Linked DNA regions of Neurospora crassa OR74A. The protein of the gene in region 3 purifies or fractionates together with the protein of the main gene of each other region. This does not show direct contact. Links are inferred from orthologs where the notes say so. Each region holds a gene or a part of one and is shown on either strand. Other genes may lie near its edges.

The links. The genes of interacting proteins can lie anywhere in the genome.
Region 1: the proteins of NCU00232 (region 3) and NCU02786 purify together in Saccharomyces cerevisiae (affinity purification with mass spectrometry; 3 studies listed by BioGRID, with this or other methods). This does not show direct contact. The link is inferred for Neurospora crassa OR74A from reciprocal best matches to the Saccharomyces cerevisiae genes TRZ1 and YMR099C.
Region 2: the proteins of NCU00232 (region 3) and NCU00030 purify together in Saccharomyces cerevisiae (affinity purification with mass spectrometry; 6 studies listed by BioGRID, with this or other methods). This does not show direct contact. The link is inferred for Neurospora crassa OR74A from reciprocal best matches to the Saccharomyces cerevisiae genes TRZ1 and NUC1.

What each region holds. Positions count from the first base shown.
Region 1 is NC_026501.1:9,199,311-9,203,246, forward strand, and holds NCU02786 (hypothetical protein), read right to left. Parts: upstream 2,589-3,936; 5' UTR 2,116-2,588; coding exon 1,858-2,115; intron 1,759-1,857; coding exon 1,378-1,758; intron 1,315-1,377; coding exon 910-1,314; 3' UTR 501-909; downstream 1-500. Other genes in the region: NCU02787 (hypothetical protein), read left to right, coding at 1-23; aro-8 (phospho-2-dehydro-3-deoxyheptonate aldolase), read right to left, coding at 3,162-3,936. UniProt on the Saccharomyces cerevisiae protein: Catalyzes the interconversion between the alpha and beta anomers from at least three hexose 6-phosphate sugars (Glc6P, Gal6P, and Man6P).
Region 2 is NC_026503.1:2,346,232-2,349,682, reverse strand, and holds NCU00030 (mitochondrial nuclease), read right to left. Parts: upstream 2,224-3,451; 5' UTR 1,869-2,223; coding exon 870-1,868; 3' UTR 501-869; downstream 1-500. UniProt on the Saccharomyces cerevisiae protein: This enzyme has both RNase and DNase activity.
Region 3 is NC_026503.1:3,102,041-3,106,137, forward strand, and holds the start of NCU00232 (hypothetical protein), read right to left. Parts: upstream 2,801-4,097; 5' UTR 2,638-2,800; coding exon 1-2,637. Other genes in the region: NCU00233 (glycoside hydrolase), read left to right, coding at 3,374-4,097. UniProt on the Saccharomyces cerevisiae protein: Zinc phosphodiesterase, which displays some tRNA 3'-processing endonuclease activity. Probably involved in tRNA maturation, by removing a 3'-trailer from precursor tRNA.

The DNA of each region.
Region 1 (3,936 bases), on a different chromosome or scaffold from region 3:
GTTCAGGTTCGAGGGGTAGCTGAGCTACTGCCGAGCGGCGGCCATATTCAGGGGAACAAAATGAAGAGAGAAAAAAAAAAAAAAAAAAAAAAAAAAAAAAAAAGAAAAGAAGCAAATCCCTAAATGCAGACAGAAGAAGAAGAAGAAGATGGATGGATGGATGGATACGGGGGGGGTGGTGAGGGGTTATGGGTAATGGATGGAAACTAAGCAAGGCAAAGGGGGGAGGGAGAAGGGACGTTGTAACTGCCTCGCTGGGTAGCCAGTACCATAGCCCGGAACAAGGACGCTTGACAGCTTGGCGATTTGAGAAGGGCGAGCAAGATGAAGGGAAAGTTGTAAGATAGTCAGTCATATTGTATAAGCAAATAGACAGACAGGATCATCGTGGCATGTGGCATTTGTAGGAATTGGGATGTTCCGGGCGTCTGGGATATTGGGTTATAGCATAGCATAGCATAGCATAGCATAGCATAGCATAGCATAGCGGAAGTTTTTAGGTTCATGTCAGCGCTGCATTTCTTTATATAACTGATTAGGAACATAAAGAGCAGGTTAAGCCAGTGTAGTGAAAATGGTGGCTATATTGATGTAAGCCTCTCTCAGTCATTGCCATCACTCTTCACGTCCTTCACTTCCTATACATGAGCTCTTGTCCAGCTACTATAGTCATTGCCGTCTGTCTGTCTGTCTATCTATCCAGCAAAACTGGCCGCCCCCACAGCTACAATACTATCTCACCTTCTGCCACATATCCACTGTCATCACTTATCATCATTCATGTACATCCTCCGTTTCCTCCCTTAATCCAATTACCACTTCCATCCCCTTGCCTTGATGTCATAACCTCCCCTTCATCCCTTCTCTAACCCACTTTGCCCTCCGCACCCGCACCCACGCATCCTGGGTTCAATTCTGTGTCTTCCCACCCAAAACAATCGTCTGCGCCCCCTCAAACGCATCGCCCGGCTCCAACACCTGCCACGTAGCCACCGCCCCCGGTTCCACGCACAACATGTTCTTGTACCCGTCCTTGGGCTCAAAGTCCGCCATACCTTGCGCCTTTTCAATCCAGGGGTTCCAAACCACCACGTTGGCGAGGTTGTCCCGCAGAACAGTGTACTTGGGTTGGTCACCTTCGAAAACGGTGATGGGGATGGACGCGGGGTCGTCGCCGGCGGGGGTGTAGACGCGGTCGGTCTCGGAGGAGATGGTTAGCGCCGAGGTGGTTTGCGTGCTGGTGGAAATGGGGGAGGTGGTCTTGTCGACGTAGGAGGCGTTTTCGAGGCCGTGGATGGAGACGGAGGTGATGTCCTGTTTTTTTTTGTCCGTTAGTTGGAGGAAGGAAGGAAGGAGGGGAGAGAAAGGGGGACATACGTTAACTCTGAGATAGGTATGCATCAACATCTGACACTCCCAACTCCTCTCATCGTCATTGGTAATGACCAAGTTGGTCGTCAGGCTATCCGTGTTCAGCGTCACGCTGTAAATCGCATTGAACGCATACGGCCACTTTGCCCTGGCGTCCTCGCTCAAGCCCGAAGAGCTCAGTCCAAAGTCCAACTTGACAGATAAATCCGCCGCCGCAGCCGCCACCGCTCCGGCAGCGCTGGTGGCCGTCGCAGCAAAGGCCGGGGTGGTGGGAGTGGGCGTCGATTCCGAAGTGGACTTGCCCAGGAACTCCCACCGCGACGAGCGGGCGAAGCCGTGCTGGGGGAGATCCTTGGTCTGAGCATGGTCGGGGGCTGTTCCGAAGACCTGTTATTTCCGTTTCTCGTCAGCATAATGTCCTCTTTCCTTTTTCCTTCCTTCCTTCCCTCCTTTGAAATAAATGACCAAGGGCGGCGGACAACATACCGGGAAAACCAAGGGAATACCGCCCCTCACAGGCTTACTTCCATCCAACTTGGCCGCCTCGCTCAACCACAGCTTCTCATGGCCGTTCTTGTCCTTCCAGCTGACGACGGTGGCGCCGTAAAGCAGGACCGAGACGCTCTCGCCGGTCGGAAGAGTGGCGGTCACACGAGAGTTGTCCGACGAGAAGGCGACTTGGGGTTGCGGGGGGAGGCCGGGGGTGGAGGCCAGGGCGGAGGGCTTACGGCCACGGTCGACCATCGTTGCGGTTGGTATGGGTTGTTTGGGTTGTTGGTCGGGGAGAGTTGTTGGGGTTTGCGATGGACGTCGAAGGGTATTGGAATAGAGTTGGAACCGGAAGTGGAAGAGGGGTAACGAGGTCGGCCAAACAAAACGAGAATGACCAACTCGCTACGCAAGTAAAGATAGATAAGCTATAAGTCTGCTGGAAGCCGGCTCTAAGCAAAGTGGAAAGCTTGGTCAGTTCGAGTCGGATGTTTCAAGTTGATCGGACGGAAGATCAAAAAGAGGGGAACCCTTCTGGTATGTACACAGAAGAGGGGCAAACCACCTAAGTACTACTCACTCTACCTGAGACGCGGGATACAATACAGCCCAATGACAGAGTGCTAGTGTAAGATTGAAGAAATGGTCGACAAGTTCGTTGGTGGTTGGGATGAAGAAGCCAATGATACAAGACAGCGGGGTAAATGATCCATCCCCCTTCTCTCGCCAGTAAGTAGCTTGTTGCATGACCTGAAACATGCCCTGTGCAGTGACCAACCGACCAAAGCTGCTGGAGCCCGACGACGGACGGTGTACTGTAGGTACGTCACTGTGCTCACGATACGTCTCCTTGACTACCCTGTACTTTACCTGGGCTTCGAGTTTCCAAAACACGCTGCGTTCACAAACCACCACACTTTTGAAGATGAATTTGAAGATGAATAAGACGCTATAGCACTTTTGAATTTTGAGAAACCCTATTTTCACCACAAAACTATACACCCTTTTACTACACAATATCTATATCGCGACCACGGGCCATCTCCCGTCGTGGCATGCCAGCCGCTTCCAACCTTGGCCTGTCATGAAAAAAGAGTTTCCGAAGCAGCAGTCCCGCCACATCCAGTACCACCACCTGCACTAGGTGTAGTAGCAGCCTCATTGGTATTCGCATCCTATTTTGTATTTGCTGCCCCATTCGCTGTAGCAGCCCCAATAGTTGTAGCACTTCCTCCACTAGTAGCCTCAGTACCTAGTTTCTTCATCTGCCAGCTCCTCCACATCCTCAAGCAAGCAGCCCTCTAAACCACCGAGGACTTTCTCCTTTCAGCCTCCTTCTCCTTCCTCTCCTGCCTATAATGATCCGCCACCAAGAAGGCCAACTCCAGCGCCTGCTTCTCGTTCAACCGCGGATCGCAGAAGCTCGTATAGTTAGTACTCAAGTCATCCTCATCCAGTCCTGCACCGCCTCCCAAGCACTCCGTCACCGCGTCACCCGTCAATTCCAGATGCATGCCGCCCAGGTACGACTTCTCTTCCTTGTGGATGCGTAGTGTCTGCTGAAGCTCCGAGAAGATGTCGCTGAACTTGCGCGTCTTGATGCCGCCGCTAACCGATTGTGTGTTGCCGTGCATGGGATCGCACTGCCAGACCACGGTGCGGGCGTACTCCGAGCTTTCGACGGTGCGGATGTGCGCAGGCAGGAGAGAGGCCACCTTGTCGGCGCCGTAGCGCGTAATGAGCGTAACCTTGCCGGGTTCGCGGTTGGGGTTTAGAGTGCGCAGCATAGGCAGCAAGTCCGAAGTAGGTGTCGAGGGACCAATCTTGACACCAATGGGGTTGGCGATGCCGCGGAAGTATTCGACGTGCGCGTGGTCGATTTGGCGCGTGCGGTCGCCGATCCACAAGAAGTGAGCCGACGTGTTGTAGTATTCTTTCTTGGGGGGCGTGGTAGAGTCGGGAGGGTAGGAGCGGACCGAAGGGTGGTTGAGCAGGCGGGTGAGCGGTTCCTCGTACTCGAGAAGGAGACCCTCGTGCGAGGTGAAGAGCTCGACAGTCGACAGCTTCTCGTTTTGG
Region 2 (3,451 bases), about 760 kb from region 3:
TTGGGAATGGATGGATTCGTTGATCAGAGCGGTGTGAACGTATACCCAACCGAGACAAGATCAGATGAACAACATTTGGAAGGCGGGAACGATGAACAAAGGAAAGAGAGAAAGAGAGAAAGGGATTACGATCGTTTCGCGACTGTGTGTGGGTTTAACTTCGAACTTCCTGTTTGGCTAGCTTGATGTTGTCGGGAAAGATAGGTACCTCGCCGGTGCTTGAGTGAGGAACCTTGATCAGATAGACAGACGACTTTGAGTTGCCTGGTGGGCATTGAATATATCACCATGGTTGCTACCCCCTAATCTGCTACTAAGGTTGGCTGTGGAGCTTTAAACCTCTTCCCTACGTTATGCACTGATATCATGCTTGGTTCACTGTACGGGCTGTGATCAAGGATGCCTTGGTGTCGATAAGTGCTTGCCTGGCGAATGGGCTTGCCGTCATATATCAGCTCGCGAAAATGAGCTCTGATTTGGAAGGCACACCGCAGGGCTAAAGGAGTAGAAGCGCACGTATGCCTGATGTCCATATGCAGTTGACCGACCAACACCTTTAACTGAACCCTGTCAAGTTCGACTTCGGACAGTGTTCCCTTTCCAATGGGGGTATAATCATAAAACGCTAAACTATGCTCATGTATGATGCTATGCACAACCCGCCTGTATGCAAGTACAAGCCTCACAGCGGCCTTCCCCGCTAGACTCCCATTTATCGACCTTATCCCCAACCTTCGTCACGGCAAGAAATCGAGGTGTACACAAGAGGTCATCTTGGGTGATACCGTCCTCGATACAACCATCATTTTTCTCTCTCTCTCTTTCTCTCTCTATTCTCCCCCCCTCCCCACAATACCTTTGTCATCCCCCTACTGCTTCTTACCAAACGACTTCTGCCTCTCGGCATAGTCCTTGACAATAAGGGAGCAGTTCGCCTCCGCACACAACCTCTTCCTCCTCTGTACCGGCAGCTTGCTCGCAAACTCGAGACCGCTCGCCCTCTCGACCGCCTCCAGGGGCACCTCAAAGTCCTGCAGCGGCTTATCGTTGGGGATCTTGGCGTTGGGCAACACGAAAGCTCCTAGCGCAACGTTTCCTCCCTTCTTGCCGTCCTCGGCAAAGATGACCTTGTAAAAGTGCGTCGGCACCGCCACGTTAGGGGGCTGCCCGATCATCTCGTACTTGACGTACCACTTGTTGTCGCTGGGGTCGCGCTTGGGCAGGTACAGAGGTCCGGTGACGATGCGGACGGAAGGGTACTGCTTCGTCAGGCGACGGCAGAAATCCTCAAAGTGCGCCCAGTAGTCGCGGTTGAAACCCTCGCCCACCTGCGGGCACATGTTGGACAGGTAAAAGGTGTCGTCCATGGCGGCTTGCGACCACTTGCAGTCGGCCGCGGGAACCTGGTGCCCGCGATCGAAGCCGGAGCGGAAGTAGTCCTTGAGCTTGCCGCGGAACTTTTCGGGGATCGCCTCGTCTTCGACGAAAGTAGACTTCTTGCGGTCGCCTTCGGACATGGACAGGGACTCGGGCGTGATGTGCTCCACCGTCCAGTGCGGGTTCTTGGTGCGGCGGTCGTACGAGGACACAAAGCCTTGGCGGGTCGCGAGATCAGCGACGGGGCCCGGGAAGCCGTACTCGAAGAAGGCCGAGGGGTCGACAGGTTTATAACCGCCGGCGAGAGCGGGCGCGCTGAAGACCTGGCTGGCGGGAACCGGACCAGGCTTGGAAGGGGCAGCGGGAACGGGAGCGTTCAGCGAGGTGGTGTCGACCTTCTTGTCGCTCTTGAGGGAGAGCATAGCGGCGGTGGCCGCGGCACCACCGGCGGCGCTCACGGCGGCAATGACGGCGATGGTAGCTTTCGACATGGTGACTAGCTGTCGTGGGGTTGCCCTGCTGGATAGACTGGATGGGCCTGCTTCCTGTCGGGGTGCGCGCAAGGGGTACTCTCCGCGGCTTTGAGGCGAGCGAGGTGCTGAGGAGATTCGGACAAGGGAAATTGCAATGGTGGAAAAGTTCCAAAGCTCAACTTAATAAAATTTCCCACGATCCGCGACCCGCGACTTGCGACTCGCGCCCCCGCGGCATCTCCAAGGGACACCCGAGGACCCAGTGACCCCGGCTCCCCCGAACGGTTGGTGACACGGCGACGGAGTGGGGAGGTCCCCACCGGGCAACTGGACGGTACCACATCACAAACACATGCACTTCATCTGATTCAGCTGGTGGGCAGAGACTTCGAGATAGAATGCTGTCCAGTCCCTTCGTTGCAACTGATATGGAGCATTTTGCCAACTGTTCCAACGCATTGACAGGTTGGTAGAGGTATGCAGTATAGGTATTTCAGTGCTCTTTTTCGATCTCGGAAACTCAGGGTCTCTTTGACTGAGCAACCCTGACTAGCCCATATGAGACCTGAGAAATATGCTAGACCAAACAGCATCTATAGATATCCATCAGAAAGCTGAATTGTTGAGACTCATGATGGACAATTGCTCATGACAGCTACCAAACAAAAAAGAGAAACAAAGTGGGCCGAGTCCAAATCGGGGATCTGTGGTCTACATATGGTAGGTACAAGGCCAAGAAGGAGACCTATGATGGCATCGATGATAAAGATCCTTGTTGCTTTCGCTGCTTCTTATCACGAACGGACGGTCCTTGTTAAAAAGCCTGCGTGAGCTGCAATTGTTCGCCTTCCCAACCTCAGCCTGGATATCTCGGTCCAAAATCAATCGACTTCTTCGACGTCAAAACCGGCAGTCCCTATCAACTTGCGGCACTGCAGTCGACACCCAGGCATCCAAGGCTGCAAGTTCCCTCCACATCCGCCCTGCATCTTGCATTGTCTTCGTTCTCCGCACTCGACGCCCCAGGCACCTGCACTCCATTGTACCTACCGACCGAAACAATACTTATCTGACCCATTGACTTCCATTCTTCCATCCAATCTGATCACCTGCTTACCTTCACGACGCCAACAGCCCATTCAGGGCCGGCTACCGTGTGCCAGCAAGGTCCTCAAAACTAGCGCACACTGCACTAGCGAAGTTTTCGATCTCCAAGCGCCGGTCCGGATCAACAATCTAACCCCAGGCCCCAAACCCGCCGCCCAAGAGCGGGCTCCAATTGATTGTCCTGTGTCTTATATTGTCTGGGCTGGGTGTGTGTGGCCGTTGAGGTTCTCAACCACGACGGGACCTGCTAGCTACCTAGATTCTCGCCTGCGTCTGATCTTGCCTCGCTGCCTTTTCCCATCCAAACACCATCTTGATCAAACTTGTGAGGCTCGCTCGTCCGTCTGACTCCTGTTGACGCCAAGGTCCCTTTTTGGTCATTCTTGACAAATATCGGACTATATTCAGGATTTCTACTGCAACAATTTGACCGTTCCCCGTTGCTACAAGTACAGTTATCGATCGCCGTCTCCCCTCCATGCCATACACGCCGT
Region 3 (4,097 bases):
GGTGAGGAATTTGATGTTGGCCCAGTCGAGAGGCTCGACGTCTTTGTACTCGTGCAGGAAGCCGATGTACTTTGTTGTGGAGATGATAGTGAGCGGTTTGGGGGCCTCGTCGGCGGGGAGAGCGGCGTTGGCGGCGGCGCGGCGGGCGAGAACGGAGGGAACACCGAGGTGGTGGTCGGCGTGCAAGTGAGAGATGTAGATGGCGCGCAGATCGCGGAGGATGGCGTCGGTTTCGGCGTAGCCGTACACGCGCCGGAGCTGGCCGAGGGTGTTCTCGCCGCAGTCGAACAGATAGCTGCCGTAGCCGGGGACGCGGATGAGCGTGGCTGAGACGTTGCGGTACTTGGAGGGAAGGGCGGACCCGGTGCCGAGAGTGACGATTTCGGCGTCCCGGTTGGGAATGTCTTGCTCGGACTCGGCGACGCGGGCGGCGAAAGCAGGGTCGGATACCTTCGTTTGCGCTTCGAGCGCCAGGTTGAAGGCTTTGGCGTGGGTGGAAGTGAGCTCCTTGATCGGCTTGATGGTGTCCATGACAGCGTTGGCGAACTGGCGCTGAAATTCGACCGAAGGAGAGAGGAGTAGTCTTTCGCCGGGCTTGCCTAGCTGAGCAACAGATGCCAAGCCCGCTGGTAAGGCTTCTTCCTGGTTGTTGTGGTTGGGAATGGAGAAGCGGTCGGGATCCATCCGATGCATCATGATAGCCTTCCCAGACGCGCCCCCGAATGAGATGGTGTTGGGGTTCATTCCCTCACCGAGAACAACGTGTTTGAAGGAGCTGTGCTTCGCCATGAAATCCTTCAGGCGGGAATCATCCTTGACCTCTGGGCTAAGGATCCAGTAGAAGGCATCGATATGCTCCATGATCTCCTTGTTCTCCCACTCGGGCCTCTTGAGGAGGCTATCGAGGAGATACTCGTAGCGGACATCAACTAGAGCAAAACCGTGGCCGGGAATAGGAGGGTCCAAAACCATATCGGGGGTAACAACAGTTCCATCCTCTGCCGTCACGCTCTCGCCCTTTGCCAGCTTGCTGAATGTCCACTTGGGTAGCCCGTATTTGAGAGCGTTCGCAGGCTGGAACTTGCCTCGACGAGCATGATTCTTAACGATGTAGCATGTGGAATCGAAGCAAGGGTCCGTGGGTGGCAACCGGTGGACAAGCGCACCAGGCCAAGGCTCCCTCACAAGCACCCTGATATCAGGAACGTTCGCGTCCCTCCCCGGCAATGGGCCCTTGTACACTGTGATCTTGCCTTCATCGTCGCGGACAAAGATCTTGGCCGGCAGCTTGACCTTGTGTAGAGGCTGTTCTACAAGAGTGTCGGCCTTCCAGTCTGAGTCGAACATGTGCTTAATAACCGTCTGCATGAGAAGGTGGGTCTTCTCGTCATCCTCCACTCCCGCCGGCACATCTTCCACAACCTCTCCGTCCTCTCCCTCTACCAGAGTGTCCATGACCTCGGGCTCCTCCGAAGAGTTCAGTTTCCGCTTCCGCGGGTTCTGCGAGCCGGTACTGCTGCTACGCGACCGGCTCTCCATGCCTGTGGCAACAAGAGGGATCTTCCAGACCTTGAGGTTTTCATCCTCGTAGTCAGGCTTGCTGTTCTCGGGGTTTGCGGCCCTGGGATCGGCGCGGAGCTCATGGGCATCGAGTGGGAAGCCCTTGCGGAACACGAATCGTCTGGCAGCAGCCAGCATGTGCTCAAGGTTCTTGGAGCCGTGAATCTCGATACGCTGAGGACCGCCATGGGTAATTTCTGGCTTGTTCTTCTGACGACGCAGCTTGTTCTCTTCCTCAACTGCAGTCTTTGCGCTTATGATGACATCGGCAACGGTCAAAATCATGCCCAGTAGGCCGCCTGTCGTTGCCCAGTCCGTCTTGCCAGAGAGGAAGATGTGCGACAGCTTTGCGGCGGGAATTTTGTTTTCGGTGAAGAGGCGCTGCGTGCCTTCGGAGAGGTGGCCGAAAAGGTAACGGCGGTTGTCATAGTGGACGAGGAGGCATGCGCCTGGGGTGTCGGCCGTCGGGGCGGCGACGATCTGGACGTGGCTGCGCATGGCGCCGAACTCGGGTTTTGCAGGTAGTGGAGGAGCTTCCTTCTGTTCTGGAGCAGGAGAAGCAAGGATAAAACGAGGTCCGTCAACCTGATAAGGGTAGAGCTTGATAGGGATGCGGCCGCTAAAGAAGTCCTCGGGGATCTTGGTGTGCTTCAGAAGGCCGTGATTCTTCCACTTTTGAAAGGCCCGTTGCGGCGAGAAGAGACTGTATTCGGCGAAGAGGTATCTGTTGCGAAGGAGTTCTCTAGCGACTGTCTTCGAGACCGAGTCTGGGATCTTGGACTTGGGAGGCCGATCTTTGCTCGGAGGCTTGACGGCGAGGCGAGGAGTGGGCTTCGCTGGGCGAAGATTCCGGAACGGAGTGGTTCTAGGTTTCGAGACAGAGTCTGGCACCCGACGTATTCTTGAGCTAGTGAACACCGAGGGATCTACCGACGATTCTGGAGATCGTGTAAAATCTCTTGTGGAAAGACAACGTCTAAGCGATAGGAACGAGGATGTGGTGGTAGAGATTCGAGTCGGCAGCACGGTTCTTATCCTCTTTGATGCGGCAGCGACTGCTAGCTTCTTGTAATGCATGGACGAATAAGTGTTTTTTTTATGCAGTCATTTCCTCTGACCTGGGCATGTCGAGAGGGTCTCGTCGAGTGGGAAATGTAGAAAAAAGAGTTGTGTCACCCGGCGCGTGGAGGAGTCAATCGGCGTCGCGGGAACTTTTTTTGGTTTTCAAGAGTGAAAGTTGACGTCGCGAATCGGGGCAACTTTTTCTGCCTGCCCGATGGAGCCACTGCACTGCTTATAGTTCAGCGCCACCGCGGGGAGTTTACAGGGGAGTGGTCCAGTACGTCAGGGCTCGAGCGGGAGGGGTGGAAGTTCAGGGTAGGTAGGTGAGCGGCTTCAATCGGCAGGGTTAGGGTTCGCTGTCAAAGCAAGAAAGGGGGTTGAATACATGTGACGAGAAGGTATACACAGTTCATTAACTATCACCTGTATAGTACGCTTTCTCCCAAATATTCCCCATTTACTTGTATGTATCCGACGCATACCCTCGCATGGTTGTGAGTTTAGTCTGAGGCCGAGATAGCTGCAACGCTGATCATATGTATCCGACGCATACCCTCGCATGGTTGTGAGTTTAGTCTGAGGCCGAGATAGCTGCAACGCTGATCACGGTAATATATATGAATGGTGGAATATAGGTATAAATCATCCGTGTTATGTTCCATCCTATAATGGATCCGTTTATATAGTACCACCCTCAACAGTATTGTGAGTGTCGAAGGAAGTCCTGGTTGTCAAGTTAAAAGAAGGAGTAATGGCAACAGAATTCAGCCGAACTGAATCAGTCCTTACCAACTCGATCAACCCTCCAGAAACACCAACTTTCATCAAGGAACCCGCCAACATGAGGAGGTCCTTCCAACAACCCCTTCCCCTTCTCCTCCAAACCATCACCATCCTCTGCCTCTTCCCATCTACCCTCGCCTCATCCAAGACCCTCCTAATCCCTTCCACATCCTTCAACTCCACCACCACCTTCAACACCTACTGGTCCTTCAATTACCCCTGGGGCACCGACCACAATGGCGCCGCGCGCATGTCCCCTTCCCAAGTCTCCATAGCCCCCTCTGCTGACGGCACCTCAAGCACCCTCACTCTAACCGCCCACCGCGTCACCGGCCAAAAACCCGCTACCCACGGCGGCAAACAGATCCCCATCAAGTACCTATCCGGCGCCATCCACGCCAAGCAGCACTTCACCATTACTTCTTCTTCTTCTGGTGCTGGTGCAGTGTCAGGCTACGATTTCTCAGCCGAGTTCCGCGCCCCCGTTGCGAAGGGGACCTGGCCTGCGTTTTGGTTGACGGCCGTCAATGGGTGGCCGCCCGAGATTGATATGGCGGAGTGGAAGGGGAGCGGCAAGATTAGCTTTAACACGTTCAATACTAGTAGTCAGGTCATGGCTCGGGATGTGGTTTATGGCCCGAACGGGAGTGAGAAGGAGTGGCATAGGGTTGTGTGTGAGATCAGGAGGGATG